Diceros bicornis minor: one gene and its partners. Each later gene encodes a partner of the first gene's protein in a complex. Links are inferred from orthologs where the notes say so. Each region holds a gene or a part of one and is shown on either strand. Other genes may lie near its edges.

Evidence for each region.
Region 2: EIF4A3 (region 1) and MAGOH share a complex: the UniProt entries of both Homo sapiens proteins name them as parts of the ALYREF/THOC4-EJC-RNA complex. The link is inferred for Diceros bicornis minor from reciprocal best matches to the Homo sapiens genes EIF4A3 and MAGOH.
Region 3: EIF4A3 (region 1) and MAGOHB share a complex: the UniProt entries of both Homo sapiens proteins name them as parts of the mRNA splicing-dependent exon junction complex. The link is inferred for Diceros bicornis minor from reciprocal best matches to the Homo sapiens genes EIF4A3 and MAGOHB.

The regions. Positions count from the first base shown.
Region 1 is NC_080757.1:59,715,904-59,721,615, forward strand, and holds the start of EIF4A3 (eukaryotic initiation factor 4A-III), read right to left. Parts: upstream 4,317-5,712; 5' UTR 4,297-4,316; coding exon 4,128-4,296; intron 1,460-4,127; coding exon 1,387-1,459; intron 717-1,386; coding exon 650-716; intron 1-649. UniProt on the Homo sapiens protein: ATP-dependent RNA helicase. Involved in pre-mRNA splicing as component of the spliceosome. Core component of the splicing-dependent multiprotein exon junction complex (EJC) deposited at splice junctions on mRNAs.
Region 2 is NC_080752.1:15,567,364-15,573,075, forward strand, and holds the start of MAGOH (protein mago nashi homolog), read right to left. Parts: upstream 3,277-5,712; 5' UTR 3,210-3,276; coding exon 3,122-3,209; intron 439-3,121; coding exon 380-438; intron 1-379. UniProt on the Homo sapiens protein: Required for pre-mRNA splicing as component of the spliceosome. Plays a redundant role with MAGOHB as core component of the exon junction complex (EJC) and in the nonsense-mediated decay (NMD) pathway.
Region 3 is NC_080756.1:50,347,427-50,353,138, reverse strand, and holds the start of MAGOHB (protein mago nashi homolog 2), read right to left. Parts: upstream 2,721-5,712; 5' UTR 2,680-2,720; coding exon 2,586-2,679; intron 369-2,585; exon of another isoform or gene 325-368; coding exon 266-324; intron 1-265. UniProt on the Homo sapiens protein: Required for pre-mRNA splicing as component of the spliceosome. Plays a redundant role with MAGOH in the exon junction complex and in the nonsense-mediated decay (NMD) pathway.

The DNA of each region.
Region 1 (5,712 bases):
TTTTCAAGGTAGACTGCATTAATTTACACTCAGATCTATTTCGAATATTATCTCACATTCACCACACATCTGATTTCTAACAGAGGTAAGCAAACCTGAATGTTACTCAAACCACAAACCCAGTAATAATGGGGTATACTGGTCAGGATTCTTGTTTGCACACAAGAATTTCCACTAGTTTAAAAAATCTCCCGCTTTAAATAAAAAGAAATTTATGACAGGGCATTAGCTCAGACATTAGTGTGCAATTAAGATTTTCTTAAAAAATTTGAGTCAGTACAATTAGAGAAATTTAAAAACTGCACTTTTTTTTTTTTTTGAGGAACATTGGCCCTACACTAACGTCTGTTGTCAATCTTCTTCTTTCTTCTTTTTTCTCCCCAAAACATAGTTGTGCATCATAGTTGTAGAGTTGTAGCTCTTCTATATGGGACGCCGCCTCAGCATGGCTTGATGAGCGGTGAGTAGGTCCGAGCCCAGGATCCAAACTGGTGAACCCCAGGGCGCCAAAGTGGAACACATGAGCTTAACTGCTACGCCACCAGGCCGGCCTCCTAAAAACTGCACTTTTTGAACACTGCAGTTACCATAGAAAAATGAAGTATTTCCTAAGATTAAAGAGAGGTTTGTTTTAAGAGTGGCAAATTACCTGAATATCCAAACACTGGAGGACGGAAATACTGAAGGTGGCTGTTTTGCCTGTACCAGACTGAGATCTAGTAAAGAAAACACAAATGGGATTTAGAATGCTGGGCCACCTGCCACTGTGCCCATTCATATAAGCCCCCCCACAGCAGTGCTCCAGGGGCAGGGGCAGAAGCACTTGGCAGCTTCTTCCAAGCAGACGCCTCCCGACCCCCCACAAAAGACCATCAATATCTTAACTGCAAGGGCGGGACTCAGGCACCGTGTCACAACTTTTAAATCACTGGTGATGAGCACAGCAGATGTGGCTTTTGCATCAGGGGGTGATGGAGCTACAGAAGCTGTAACTCCAACAAGTGTTAGAGGTGGCAGAAAAGAGAGATTCCCCTTTATGTAACTATAATTCTTTTCTTTGAGTTTGGAATGAAACTATCCTCCAAAAATATATTTTTTTTTTTTGTAAATGAGTCTTTAAAAATTAGGCACCAGGAATAAAGCTATTAAAAGAGCATTATATACAATTTCACATGCTGACTGACATGTAAGTAAAGCTAGCTAAAAAAATGAAGGCTTTCCAAAGTAGAAGACACAAACATAAACACAAACAAAACACCCTGTGGCTAAAGTCAAGGAAAGAGTTGGTAAGGAGTGTATGAAAACTGACAAAAATGGTCATCCCAAAGCATGAACCACCCTTTGCTTTCCTAGCATCTCATTCCCACTCTGTGTGAGCAGACTTACTGTGCGATGACATCTCTCCCTTTAATTATCTGCTTGATAGCTCGCTGCTGGATTGCTGAGGGTTTTTCAAAACCTGTAAATAAAAACAAAAAATTAGCCCTAACCACCAGGACAGCATGTTTACAACCATACAGTGTAGGCTCCTCGGGGCAGAAATGGTATCTTTTTTTAACTCCCCACTCCCACCCTCGCCTAACCCAATGTCTAACACACTGAGCTCTCAAGAAACAGCTGCTGAATGAATTGGGCTGAAGTAGATTTTTATTATACTGACTAACGGGGGATCTTATTTATACAGACAAAATCTCTGTAAAAGGAACATGACTGCAGAATATAGAGACCTCAGTCAGTTAAAAAGAAAATGTTGGGACTGGCCCAGCGGCGCAAGCGGTTAAGTGCGTGCGCCGCCGCTGCGGCGGCCCGGGGTTCGCCGGTTCGGATCCCTGGCGCACATGGAGGCACCGCTTGGCAAGCTATGCTGTGGCGGCGTCCCATATAAAGTGGAGGAATATGGGCACGGATGTTAGCCCAGAGCCAGTCTTCCTCAGCAAAAAACGAGGAGGATTGTCAGATGTTAGCACAGGGCTGATCCTCCTCACACACACCAAAAAAAAACCCAAAATGTTAGCGGTGGTACCTCTGGAGAATGGGTTGGGGAGGCTCACTTTTTACTCCAATTACTTCTGTATTGTTTGACTACATTACAATAACCTGCAATGCTTTTTTTTTGTATTACTTTTTAAATTATACAAAGGAAAATAAACCCATCAGCGCTGTAGTCAGCCCTCCTTCCCATGTGGGTTGTTCACATTGTCTACAACTACATTTAATCTACCGTGCGGGTCGTACTGCAGGGTGTCCAGCACTGTACTCCTCCCTGACTTGATGTAGCTACATGAACTACAACACCACCCCTCTTGCATAGCAATTACCAAGGCATGAGGCCACTCTGAAGGAGTAAAAGTATTTTCCAAATAAACAAAACTTATGTACAAAAACTGTATTTTAATTATTTTTTGGTAGTATAATTTCCCATCTAGCACAAAAGCAAACACCACAGATGATTTAAACTCCTCATGATGACCAATGGGAAACTAAAAACCGTGTTTTAGGGCAGGGATGCCCTGGGTGCCTAGAGGCACGTAGGGCTGTCAGCCTCACTCAGGCCAGGCTGCAATGGTTCTTTCACCTCCCGTTCCCTCAGCACCTTCTCTTTGCTCTATCCAAACTGCCATGACATCAGGACTGCTGGATAAAAGACATCCCAGGCGTTAAGCAGACGCTGATCACTCCCACCTGCACCTCCAACACCACCGATCTTCCTCAGCTCCCAACTTAGACAACTGCCTTCCCGACATCTCCAAATGGATGGCTCACAGGCCCCTCAAGGTCACCACATCCAAGACAGAGCTTCCCACTTTGCCTCCCTCGAGCGCTCCCCACCTAAGCAAGCATGCTGCCCGTTACTCACAACACCCAGGAATCACGTGAGTCCTCCTTCCTCTGCCGCTCCCATTCAACCCATCAGGGAACCCTGTTAGTACTCCACCTCGGCCACAATGCCATCATCTCTCCCCTGGACTGGAACAAAAGCCTCTAACTCATCGCCCTGCTTCCTCTCCTGCCTCAACTCCCCTCAAATCCTCCCCTCAAATCCACAGACACCCAGGATAACCTCTGTAACTGTAATCGTCTCACTTTCCTGATTAAAATCCTCCACTGGCTTCCCACCACACTTAGAAATAAAATTCAGGGGCCGGCCCGGTGACGCAAGCGGTTAAGTGCACGCGTTCTGCTGGGGCGGCCCCGAGGTTCGCTGGTTCGGATCCCGGGCGTGCACCGACGCACTGCCTGGCAAGCCATGCTGTGCCGCATCCCATATGAAGTGGAGGAAGATGGGCACGGATGTTAGCACAGGGCCAGTCTTCCTCAGCAAAAAAAAGAGGAGGATTGGCAGATGTTAGCACAGGGCTGATCTCCTCACAAAAAAAAAAAAAGAAATAAAATTCAAGTTCTTGATCATCTCATATGATCCTCTGCAAGATCTGGCCCCTGCCTCTCTCTCCAAACTCGCCCCTGGGCTCTCACGACAGGAAGCTTCTTTCTGCTCCTAGAATCACTCAGCTCAGGGCTACAGGGCCCTGGCACCAGCTGCTCCCTCTGTCCAGTACTACCATAGTCTTCTCATAAGGGCTCCTTAATCCAGATGTCAGCTCAAATGTCAGCCCCTTCTGGGAGACCTCTCATCTATTTTCTCTATGTATTGTAACTCTCTTTTCCCTCCAATCACACTTCATTCAATTATCCCGCTTTATTTTCTCTAGAGCCATTACCACTACCTGAAGCAGCCTAGGCTCTATGCCGTCTGTCTCCCAAACATAACTTAAGCTACCTAAGGGCACGAGCCTGTCTGGTCCACTGCTAAACCCTCAGTGCCTAGAGCCGCGCACGTCCGGAGCACCTGGCAGGTACAGGACAGTTATCCGCGGAACGAATGACTCCGAAGGGCCCGGAAGGCTTTGCAGCCCTCGCTGGACCAGCACGGTGCTCTGCATCGAGGACAAAACCGAACCCACCGACGCAAACGCGGTAGTGGATGGCGTGCTGCGGGCGGGGGTCGCCCGTCAGCGGCTCGGCCTCGGCTCCAACCCCCGGCCTCCGGGGCCTGCCCGGGACTCGCAGTCTCAGCCTCACTCCCGCCCGCATCCCCGGCTAACGGCCCGCGGCCCGCGCCCACCGACCATAGGCGTAGATGCCGCGCAGTAGGTCCTCCCGCAGGCCCATGGTGTCGAACGTGGGGGTCACGTCCACCTCCTCGCTGGTCTCGAATTCCACTTTGGTCATGTCTTCCTCTTTGAGCAACCGCTTCCGCGCCGAGCCCGAAGTCGCCATCGTGGCCGTGGCCGCCATGATCCCGACTCGGCTAACAGCAGAGCGCGCGCCGCAGCGGAAAGCGGAAGCAAAGCCCTGCGCCTGCGCCACCGCCGCCGCCGCCAGGAACTGACGCGTGCTTGCATGCGTGCGTGCGTAAGAGCGTGCGTACGAGCGTGCGTCGGGGCCGCATCTCGCGAGGAGCGGGGCCTCCTCTTCATTGAAAGGGGAAAGGGAGCTTGAGGCAGGGAAAGGGGCGGTGCTGCTGCTCCTGCTCTCGCGATGTGAGATCCTGCGATATCTCGCAAGGGGCGGGACTCCGCCCACCCCGTATAAAAAGTGCCGAGGGGCGGGCTGACCCGGGATGTGTGAAATGGACGTTTGGAAGGTTTGAGGTGGTGGTGGCGGGTTCTGACATGTTTCCGAACGGGACGGTAGACTCGGAGCCCCGGAAGACCGGCTGCGGGCCAAGCCAGGGCGCCTCTGCTCCGGGCCGGGTCTCCAGGCGGCCATGCCTCGAATGGGAACCTGGCGCGGGTCCCCAGATGCGCACACTCCCGCGTTTATACGCTTCTTCCGACCTTATCGCCGACCTGGGTCGGAGGCGCGCGGCTCGTGGTGGGGAAAGCATTATTCTCATTATTACCGACGCCAGAGGTAAATCCTCACTGCTAGTAGTTGGAAATAGTCTACTGTCGGAAAATCTGGCGGTTTTTGACTGCCTTTTTGTCAGCTCTGGTTGAGTGGCCCCTAATGGAAAAGCCGCTACCCGGGGTCGAGCGTGTCGAGAGAAAGTGCCCACGCTTGGGGATGCGGACAGTGGAGTCTCGACGTCCCCGGACCCCCGGGACGGGCTGCGTGACCTGGGGACGCGCCTCTGTTTGACTGCAGCTCGCGGGTCATTCTGCGTCTGGTGGAGGCGCTAATCGACCCTGCCCTGCAGGAGGAATCGCCCCGGAGGCGATGGCTCTTTGTTGCCTGTAGAGCGTTAACCTGTTATACCCTCTTACCCTGAACTTAAGTGTCTGAATACCGACTCCTCAAAACGCTTCTGAAGCAGCTTCGCCCCCTGACTGTGTTCATCCTGTGTTGTGTGAAAATGATGTTTTTAATTTCGGGAAGGTTACACTCTCGCAAGTGTCAGCTCTGTCCTTTCTCGTTGTTTGCTTGGCTCGCATCACTGGGCATGGCTTTAATCCACCGCCTCCTTCCAGGAGAGCTTGAACCCTCTCCTGTTGGGAAGGTTAGTTTAGTTAAAACTGGCTCGTCGTTTCATCTTCTAAACCAGGCACATGGAGAGTGCAGTGGGTTGCAATAGATTGACAGCAAACAAGTAAGTGACGGTTTAGTTCTCGAAAAGCTCTCGTTCTGACCTCAGAATATGTCCAAACCTTATAAGGTAATTGATGTGATGAACATGCCTATGAAGGATGCCAGTATTAATCAAATATTTAT
Region 2 (5,712 bases), on another chromosome or scaffold:
ATATACCAAACACTTTAAGTATTACATATTTAATTCCACAACAGCACTGGGGGAGTAGAGAGTAGGTTTTATTATTTCTGTCTTTGCAGATGAACAAACTGAGACTTATCGAGTTCAGCCAGGGAAACTGCCCAAGGTCACATGGTTAGTAAGTAGCAGATTCAGGGTTCAAACCAAGATTCAAATGATTACCAGTAATTGACTCAGCATAGTGAAAGAAAATATAAACTAAAAGAAGATTTGAGAAAAACTTTAAAAGCAGTCTACAGACATGTGTCTATACTTCTCTATTCTTTATCTTTCAACACTACTCCCAGAAAGAACAAAAATACAAAAGGCTAAACTGTAGTGAATGAAAGGCTCTCAGAAGGCTCATTACCTCTTTTCTGATCATGACATCATTTTTGTAATTGCTGTTGTTGGCATATCTCAATTTCCCTGTGAGGGACAAAAAACAAATTCAATGTATAATAAAAACAAATGAATAGAGCATTTAGCCTACCAACACTATCAGCTGTTGCTTAAAATGTATCCTAACTGTCCCTTCAAAGTGTCTAACAGATTTACTATTTACACCTTTGGTGTTTCAACAATACTAGTTTTTTCAGTTCTTCACTTTAATTAAATAGCCTCACAGCCAAAAATACAGCTGACACTGAATTACAGTTCTTGCAAAAGGCAGCTCAGGTGTGATAAAAGAACATCAGCAGGCTCTTGGTGACTTGGGCAAATCATCTCTCTGCAGATTAATGTCCTCAGCTGAAAATAAAGATAATAATTGATAACTTACCTGCACACAGGGCCTCCTGAGGCTTAAATGAGTCGTAGAAAGCATTCTGAAAACTGTAAAATACTGTTTGCATATATTATCATGTGACCGTGCAACACTCTGATTTATTCTGGTGATGGAAAAGTTGTGGTTTTATTATTGCACGTTTGGTATACTAGCCTTTTGTGCATATGTGCATCCAACAGGCTAATTTGGGTATATGGTGGGTACGAATGAGAAGATAAAAGAAAACAGATGATTTCTTCTCTGTAGAATAGAGGCATACATGTGCGAAGAGTCAAATTATTTCCACAGCCTCTGCACTGTCAGTCTCATCTCCCTCCTTTCGGTTTACTCTCCATACAGTGGACAAAGTGATGTAGTAACAATCTGTCTGATTAGGTTACTCTAATATTTTGATACTGACAATGGTTTCCCACTGTCTTCTTGATAAAATCCAAATTCCTCAACATGGCATACTGCTAAGCTGAGCCCCTCCCTGCCTTTCCAGTGTCACTCCTGCAAGATTCCTCTCTCACACGGCCGGAGTTAATCGAACTACTTGGTTTCTGCCCAATACATGCCATGCCCCTTTTTGGTTTTCAGCCTCTGCCTTTAATGCTGTCCAAAATGCCTTTTATTTATTTATTTATTTTTTTGTGAGGAAGATCGGCCCTGAGCTAACATCTGCCAATCCTCCTCTTTTTGCTGAGGAAGACTGGCCCTGGGCTAACATCCATGCCCATCTTCCTCCACTTTATATGGGACGCCGCCACAGCATGGCTTGACAAGCGGTGCGTCGGTGCGCACCCAGGATTCCGAACCGGCAAACCCGGGGCAGCCACAGTGGAGCGCGTGCACTTAACCGCTTGCGCCAACCGGGCCGGCCCATATTTATTTATTTTTTTGCAGGGAAAGAGTCGCCCTGGGCCAACATCTGTTGCCAATTTTCTCTTTTTTTTTTCCCCTCCCCAAAGCCCCAGTACGTGGTTGTACATCCCAGTTGTAAGTCTTGCTAGTTCTTCTATATGAGCTGCCGCCACAGCATGGCAACTGACAGACACGTGGTGTGGTTCCGAGACCGGGAAGCCAACCCGGGCCTCGAAGCAGTGAGCACCCAACTTTAACCACTAGGCCATCAGGGCTGGCTCCAAAATGCCTTCTTGACTGTCATCTGCCTAACCAACCCCTACACATTACTAAAGACTTACACCCCCTCTGCCCCAAGTCATTTTATGCAGGAAGCCTTCTCTGACCCTCCGGCTAGGTTAGGTGCCTTCTTTCTGCTCCCAGAGTCTCTTCCATTTCTTTCTACCACAGCACCTATTACATTGTTTTTTCACTGTTTCTTTACAAATCTTTCTCCTTCACAATTGGGGCTTGTCAGATTCATCTCCATGCCCCCATTTAGGGGGAGATTTCTGTCATCTTTGATTCCTCTTTCCTTCACCACAGTGCCCCCTCCCCCAAATTCTATCAGCAAAGTCCTATTGGTTCTGTCTCCCACAGCATCGTAAATTCTTTTCTCCACTTTGTTTCCCCTCTTGCCCATTCTGCACCCAATAATTAGAATACTTTTTCAAGAACAGATCACATCTCTTCTCTGCTTAAAACTTTCCAAGTGTTTCCTGCTGCGCTTAAAATAAAATCCAAACTCTTTACCACCGCCCATAAAGACCTACGTGGTGTGACCCCTGCCTACTTATCCGATATCATCTCATATTATTCTCTCCAGAGCTCACTACTCTTCAGTCACATTGGACACCTAAAACATGCCTAGCTCATTCCTGCCCTATGGCCTTGACACCTGTTATTCCGTTTAGTCTAGAATGCTCTTCCTTCTGAGCTTCACAAGGCTGGCTCCTTCTTGTCAATCAGGGCTGAGTTCAAATTTCCCCTCTTCAGAGAGCTCTCCAATGGCCACTCTATCTAAAAGCAGCCCACTCGCAATTATTCCATCATTTTGTTTTATTTTCTGACCACTCATCACTATCTGGAATCTTTTTTGTTTATGATCTCTCTCCCAGCACTTGACTGCAAGTTCCACGCAGAGGAAGCTTGTCTATCGCTCACTCCCGTATCCCAGATTGTGGAACAGAACCTGGCGCGAAGTGGGCGTTCAATCAATGTTTGTTAATGAAAGCACTCTGGTCAAAAATGTCACTAAACAGAAGTCCCTGCACATGGACAAAACAACCAGCGGGGAGGACACAGGCGCGTTCCTTTCAGATCCGCACTGCACACATCTCATTCCCTTCTCCTAGTTCCTCGCACTTCCCGGACCCCAGGCCTCCCGACTCGCCCGCCCCCAGGCCTAGTCCTCACTCCCGGGAGGCGGGAGGCCGCTCTTACCGTCGGGTCGGAACTCAAACTCCAAGAACTCGTGGCCGAACTTGCCCTTGTGACCCACGTAGTAACGCAGATAAAAGTCACTCTCCATGGCTCGCAAAAACTAACCGAGACCGAACTTTAACAGCGACCCACACCGCCGCCGTATGCGCCCGATACTGACGTTTACGGCGGCGCGCGGAAGTGACGTCAAGGCAACGCCGTCGCCCGTGGAGGAGGGCTTCCTCCACCCCCGCGCCCGGAGGTGGGGACGAGTCTGCCCAGCCTTCCGGCGGAAACATGGCGCCTTTCATCCGGGGGCGGGGTCAGCGCAGCCCCGCCCCCCAGCCCGAGGCGGGAACACGGCTGGGGCTCGGCCGCCCGGGTTCTCCGAGGCGTGAGGGCAAGGCGTCCGAGGGCCTCTGGGCTTCGGCGGGGCGTCTGGACACCTCGCCTCAAGACCTGGGGGTGAAGCCCCAGAGTCCTGCGTCCGTCCGGGGCCAGCCTCCATTGAAAAGGCACCCGACTTGTGTGAGTCGGACAAGGCCCTTCACCGTCTCTGGACCTAGGTCGCCTCGACAGTGAAATGGGGTAAAATGACCCGACCTCACAGGAGAGCGCCGCGCACGACGGTGCGTGTGTCCAAAGCTGCCTCCGACCGGTTCAGGACCGTTGTCGGCGACGCTTTCCGAGTGCACAGTGGAGACCGCCATTTCCCTGAAACTAAGGCGCGCGCGCGCTTTCCCCCCATTTTATCTCTTTCTACCTTTTAATTTCTCCCTTTCCCTCTCTACCTCACTGGTCTCTAGAGCACGTGCTGTGTGTAGAAGTTGAATATTTGGTGTCCCACTCCCCAGTCTCTGCAGTGCTTACCCAGCGGTGATTGCCAGCCCTGGCTGCAGGGGAGAATCACCTCAAACAGCTAAAAAGTACTGAGCCGGCGCCCCGCCCCAAACCAGTTAGATCAAAATCTCTCCCGGTGGCCCTGGGCGTCCGGATTTTTTTTTTTTATAGTTGTTTTTTTATTGTGAAATTTTTGTTGTACGTTATTGTCAGTCACCATATAAGTGCATCCCTCCACCCGTGTCCACCCCCCACCCCCCTAGACCTGGGCGTCCGGATTTTTCTGCAAAGCTCTCCGGGTTGCTCAAGGTTAAGGACTACTGCCCAAGAGGCTCTACAAAGTGGTTGACCTCTGTGAAGGCTTTCTGGCTGTGAGAAAATTTTACTTGTCGAATAGGCCAAGGGCGATCAAATCCTAATTATGGAAGCCTGCCTTAGCTCATGCAAGTTCCAGCCACAGGGGGAATGGAATCGGTTCTCGAGAGAGTGCTGAGATAGCATCGTTCTCAGGGCCTGGTGACTATAACTGTATGCTAATCAGGCCAGGGGTCTCTGATTCTCATTCTCGGTCTTGCCACTACTCCTTTTCTCCCTGAAAAAGCATTGGTGGCAGAGTGTGGAGTGGGTGTATGTGGGGGGGGGGGCAAGTCACTGGAGACTTCAGTTAAAATATCCCTTGTGTGACAGTGATTGACTGTGACCGAAGGTGAACTGATTGAATTTTTCGGACCTTAGGTTCCTTATCTTTAAAATGAACATAATAATGTTAGATACCAGGCAGAACTGTTGTAAGGATAAGAAACAATGTCTTGGAAATTGGAAAACTGTACATTGGTATAAAACCATAAGGCATTTTATTACAAAACACTGGATATGGGTGGTAACAAGGGAATTATAAAAAAAGAGAAAGGACTCACCAGGTATTAAACACCTAATAAATGTCAGCTCCTAGGTTGAGCCCATTTACAAGTACTTGTTCTTTGAATTTTCAGAACCATCTTGAGGTGGTAATTGGAGTTAAGTATATAGAGACATCAGGTAATTACTACAAGGTTATTTCCCAAGAGTGAAATTATAATGTAACTGGTGAATCTGGGCATCTGTAGATGTGGCAAATAACGAAAGTGCTGAGAAAATTTAAGACACCAGACTCCAGTCAGGCTGTAAAGTGATCCAGTTTTTTGGGTATGAGACAACATGGTATAGCTGAAAGAGCATAGTCTGTGTGTCTGATGTGCCTGAATTCAGCATAATTTACTGAGTATCTACTGCGTCGTGTGCTGGGGATACAATGGTGAGCAGGGCAGACCTTTATAGAGCTTGCAGAGGAGGCAATTAAGGAGCATACAAGCAATTATAATGTAGGAATAAAGGTTACAAATAGGGGAAGCACAGAAAACTCTGGAAACACATAGTGTGGCTCCTAATCCAGTCTAAGGGCCTAAGGGAAGTCTTCCTGAAGGAAATGTTCCAGATAGAGGGCCCAGAACTGTGTGGTTAGAATACAGAATGAGATTGCAAATATAGTGATGAGGTTGGGGAAGGGGCAGAAGCCAAATCATGAAGGACCTTACAAGCCATATTAAGGAGTTTGGGCTAAACCCAAGGGTATTAGATTTTAATGCAAGGGAAACAGATGAAGGACTTGAAGCAGGAACGTGGAATGGGGGTGGTGGTGGTGATATGACCTATTGCATTTTAGAAAGATCACTTTGGCTGCAATGTGGTAGACTGGTTTGGAAAAGTGGAAAGATTAGAAGTATGAAATTCAG
Region 3 (5,712 bases), on another chromosome or scaffold:
CAATTAACAGTGAATAGAGTAAAATGACAAATTATAAAATGAATTAAATGATATGTTCAAATGTGGGACTACAAATTAATATATTCAGATTGCTTCTTTCGTTGTTACAGATGCTACAATTATACCTGATTTAAGTAGAATCCCTTTTCAATCTATAAATTGGCTTCTTTTTTACAGTACAGCTTAGATATACTTTAGTAAATTCAACACAGACAAGAAGAAAATGAGCTAAATGTAAAAAGTTATACATTCAAAAAAACCTTACCTCTTTTCTGATCATGACATCATTTTTGTAATTGCTGTTGTTGGCATATCTAAGCTTTCCTGTGGGGAGTGGAAAACAATTCAATCTATAACAGCAAAAACTGCTAAAAAAAGATAAATGACATCGTAAGCAATTTTGAACATAAAGACTATTTTATACTACTAGTTTTATTAATATTTCCTCCCTCCTAGCATAAGATCAATGCTAGACATATAAATACTCAAAAATTTACTGGTAAATTGGCTGCAGTTGAAGCTACTCAAATTTTTAAATATTCTATGCCTTTGATATAATTTTTAAATATTCAATATAATTTTTAAGTATTCCACGCCTTCAATGTAATTAAATATAATGGAAGGGCCATTTTCTTAAGCTATGTCATGAACTAGACAGGGAAGCTGAAAAAGGAAGAAACGTTTCTTTTAAAGTTTATTTTATATGTCTGTATTTGTGCTAAGTGATTTACCCAGAGCATTTAATCTAATCTGTAAAACAACCCTAAAATGTAGGTTTTATTCTCTCACCTATTCATAGGTGAGAAAACAGTTAAGTAACTTGCCCAAGGTCACACAAGATGCAGATCTAGATCTACCTTCCTCCAATACTCACGCTTTCCTCGCTACTCCAAAATGTTCTTTTAATTATTTTCTTTCAAATTAATGTATGTATATAATATGGCAATGCTAATAGTTTAGAATCGTGACTAGGAAGCATACAAACTATGTGCTGCTTCTGGATAAAGGCTGGCCAGTTTGTTAGCTGATCTATGTTTAATTTTAATCCATCATGACTTTTGTACTCCCTGATACATGCTTCTCCTCACGCCTAGTCAGTTGTCCAGGTAAAATGTAATGTGGTCCTGATCCTCTAAAATGATAGGTTACCCTAATGAGGTGAATCCCTTAGGAATCACTGTCTTTGTGAGTCACTATTACTGATCAAAGTACGTGGATGGTGTGGTGGCAGACAAATGGATGAGAACCACTGTTCAGGCATGAAATTTCCCTGATAATAATAGACAATTTATGTCACTGGATAAAAGTAACATGAACAAGCTAAATGATGTTCACAGACAAACGCACTGAAAACAATATCACAAAAGGAAAGAACAGATAGAGAATTCAGGTAAATTGGCTCTTTAGCTACATTTGGAAGAGATCTGAGAATAAGGTGATGAAAGTTTCTAAATAATTGCAGGGTTCTAGTTCCTTACGTTCTGCCTGAAACGTCTGATACTCTTCCCCTTTTGTAATATGTGATCCTCTCCTAATTTTTCTTTCATGCTTTCACAGAACTTTGTCCAAAGCATGAACATAGCACCTAACACTTAATATCCATACTGCTTTATGGTTAGTTTCATGTCTGTGTCCCTCATCAAAACATTTAACTCCTTGAGGATAATTAAAGTCTTACTCGTTGTAAATTCAATTTTCGTATTTACACGTAGCCCAGCAAATAATATGCTTTCAAAAAAGAAACGTCTACGCAGTTGGACCGTCCTTGTTTCCAGAAGAGTTCAGTATACAACAACACTCTCTAAAGAGAATCAGAGCTGTGAAAAGATAGACTCTGCTTCACACTACATGGGCAGCAGGCAGTTCCACCTCGCCCTAGGCTCAGGCAGCTCTCAGCAGTCTGACTTTTTTTCTCAGAGGCCAAGAAAATACCTACTCTCATTTCAAGACTCATCTCAACTGTCACCTTCTCTAGAAAGTTTTCCCCGATTCCTTCATGTAGAACTAACCGCTCGCCTTTTTTTATATTCTTAATACATCCAATGAAGAATAACTGTATTTAAGTACGCAAAACACTCATTTTTCTACACGTCGAGCGCCCCCCTTCGGAGCAGGTCTCCTTCGTTTTTCGACATGTTGCCTTACATACAGCGCCTGAATGAATAAAATGGATGAATGGGTAGTCGGAAAGTTACTGGTCCGGGAAGATTGTAAGTATCCATCGGACCACCGCGTGGTGGGGTGTTCTTAAAAATGTTCAAGCACGTATTAGGTCGATAAACCAGATGGCATTGAAAGTCTCTTCCGGTGTGCTGATTCTAGGATTCTGATTAACGTGGGTTCAGCTTTTCAGTATCTGGCATGAGTGGCTTTTCTGAATTAATTTCCACCCTTTAATTATCTTTTATTCACAAAACCAATTTAACCTCTTATATTCCTTAGCTCCTCTTTACTTCGTCTCAAGCAGCGCTTGCAAACCCGCGGAGGCTCGCACACCCCACCCCGCCTCCTCCGCGGCCAGCCCCGAGCTTCCCCGAGCTCAGCGCCGCGCTGGGTGCGGCCCCGGCGGCCACTCCTCTGCTCACCGTCGGGCCGAAACTCAAACTCCAGAAACTCGTGTCCAAATTTTCCCTTGTGCCCTACGTAGTAGCGCAGGTAAAAATCGCTGGCCATAGCCATTTTCGTTCCCGGAAAGCCCGCCGAAGGCCTGGCCACCGTGCCGCCGGGCGCCTGGCAGTGACGTCAGTCGCCCAGGATAAAATCGTCACCACGGGCGCGCCCTTTCCGCCTCCCGGGTCCCCAGGGGAAAGGGGGAAGGTGGCGTCTCGGAGAGACCCGGAGGTACGGGATGGAGGGTAGTAGCGACGTGTATGTAGCTTTACTAGGATTGGAAGCACATTACTTTCCAAATTAAATAGATCCAATTATATTAGCAAAGCAGAGAAGTGTGAAAATACGATAGCCTTTTTTATGGGCTTAGGAAGAAGGTATGCAAATCGCTTTTTCCGAGTCTCTAATTCTCGCGGGATTTTTTGAGCTTGCTGTGGCATCATTCCCCTTTAAATGGTGGGATGAGTAAAGATAAAGCCCAGAATAGGTGGCAGACTTGGATACAACGCTTTCTCCTGGTAGGTTTCTAACACGGGGCTTTCCCCTTTGGACAAGGATTGCTAGTTATCCGGCAGCTAGAAACCTGTAATAATAGAGACAAAGTAGAAAGAATCCATCAGACAAAAGGTGTGAAATTTTGAAAGGCACATTGACACTGAAAATTCCTTACAGTCATGGTATAAAAGAGTTCCTTTTAATAGCAAAACTTCTTTCATTCAGTAAAGGTTAATCTTCAGTGGCCTGTGGAGTGTTGGCAATATGACTTAAAATCAAATGTTTTAGCCCACGTTTCCTACCAAATAAAACTAAATTGGAGAAGTGAACGAATGCTCTAGTGTGGGATGGAGCTTGAATAATGAGGAAACACAGGGTGAGCTTTTACACAGTCTATTCTTCAAATATTAATGACCACCCTCCTTTTATCAACACACAAACTAATCCTGCCTGTTGGGTGACCTTTAACCTCCAGTGGGATTTAGTAGAAAGAGTGGCTGTCAGAAGACCTGGGATTCATTCCCAACACGTACCTCTACCTAACCTTGGTCACGTCACTATCTCTGAGCCTGTTTGTTCATCAACCAAGTGAATATTCTACAGTCAATTTTTCCAAGCTCACAGAATTGTTGAGAGGATCAAATGAGGTACTGCATGTAAAATAAACTTTAAAATTTATAAAACATTATATAATGAGTTTGTCAAAACTCATTGACAAGCATTTCCTATGTGCCAGAAAGGGTTGGACACTAGTAATAAAAAGATAGAGCCCTTTGCACTTGTAGTCTGTAAAAGAAAGCAAACATGTAGACCAATAATTGCACAAGGTAGCAATTGGTATAAGAAAGAATTTTTTTAAGTGCTGGTAGTACACAGAGGAAGCAAGTCACTTTATTGGAGAATAGAGGAAGTTGAAGAAAGGGAAGTATCAGGGAAGGCTTGTGACAAAATGTGCTATTTGAATAGGACCTTGTTGGATAAGTTCAGTATATGTTCAGAGGGATGGGAAAGCATTTCAGGAAGAAAACAGCCTGAGCAAAGACACAGTTGTATGAAAATGCGTGATGTGGGAAAGCCAAAAAATTTAGTATAGCTAGAACATAAGGTTCATGTAAGTGGAAAAACTAGAAAGGCAGACTGGGCCAGGTTATGTTGAGTCTATATTAATTGTATAACTGTCAATATAGAAATCCATATTAACCATTGTATAAGTGTTAATATAGAAAAATTATTCAGTTCGTACTATAGGCTGCCATTATGGAAAATACACAAGAAACATAAAGAACCATCCCTTAACACTGGGGTGAAAATTAACCATTTCACTTTGCCCAGGACTGAGGAGTTTCCTCAGATGAGGGACTTTCAGTTTTAAAACCTGGAAAGTCCCAGGCAAACTAAAATGAATTGGTCACTGTACTTACTACAAGAATACCGCACAGAAATTGGACCACACTGTTGCATAGTATCTCTGAAAATATAGGCATAATCCATTTGTTTTGTGGGAGTTTTTTTGTAGGGAGCCTCATTCAGTATCTTTCGATTCCCTAATGCATTTATTCAGATTTTTGGCACATGTGCCAGTGTTCATCCTCATGCCTACTGGAATAGAGCTACAGCTACCAGAACTGTGACTACGGAACTTAAGGAATATACAGTGTTAAGAACTTTATCTGTGGGCCAATTGTTGTCTTTATCCCCTAAAAAGACTCCTGAGCTCAAGACTAATCCTTTCTAACCCTGTTTTTAAGATGAAATGTGAAAATATGTGTACTTAATCCGTCATATATTTAGCCCCCTAAAAAACGTCAAAATGTATATCTCTAGTATCACTATGTTAGTGCTGTCTAGTCACCTCCTGGGGACCCCGTGTAAAGCAGAACAGAACCCTGCCCCGTCTTTTTGTGCCAACCTCTCACCTTCCAGTGCTGTATCAGAGAGTGCTTCACTGCTAGTCATAGAGTTTTCACCGCCAGTTTTTCTGGAAGTGGGTGGCCGGGTCCTTCTTCCTAGTCTGTCTTAGTCTGGAAGCTCTGCTGAAACCTGTCCAGCATGGGCGACCCTGCTGGTGTTTGAAATACTGGTGGCAGAGCTTTCAGCATCACAGCAACATGCGGCTGCCACACTATGACAACTGACAGATGGGTGGTGTGGTTCGCTGACCGGAAAGACGAACCCAGGCCGCAGCGGTGAGAGCACCAAATCTTAAGCACGAGACCAGCAGGGCTGGTATCTAGTATCACTGTAAGGATTGCAAAGGGATAAAGCGTTTGTGTTTTGTGTTCTTTTTGGATGTTGCAGAGACGTGGAAACGTTCTGAATGGCTACTGAGCACTTGAAATGTGGCTTGTGAGACTGAGAAACTGAATTTTTTTATTTTTAAATATTACTTAATTTGTATGAATTTAAATTAATATTTAAATAGCCACATGTGTCCACTGACTGCTGTAGTGGACAGTGCAGTTATATAAGAACCATTTCGTACACTTTTACTTGAGCTGGAAATAGTGAAAATATTTTTTGAACACTGAGACATCTCAATCTCAGTTACTGTAGACTTCAAAGTAGGGCTTCAACACTGGTGTCACCACAGTTTGTTTATGAAAATAA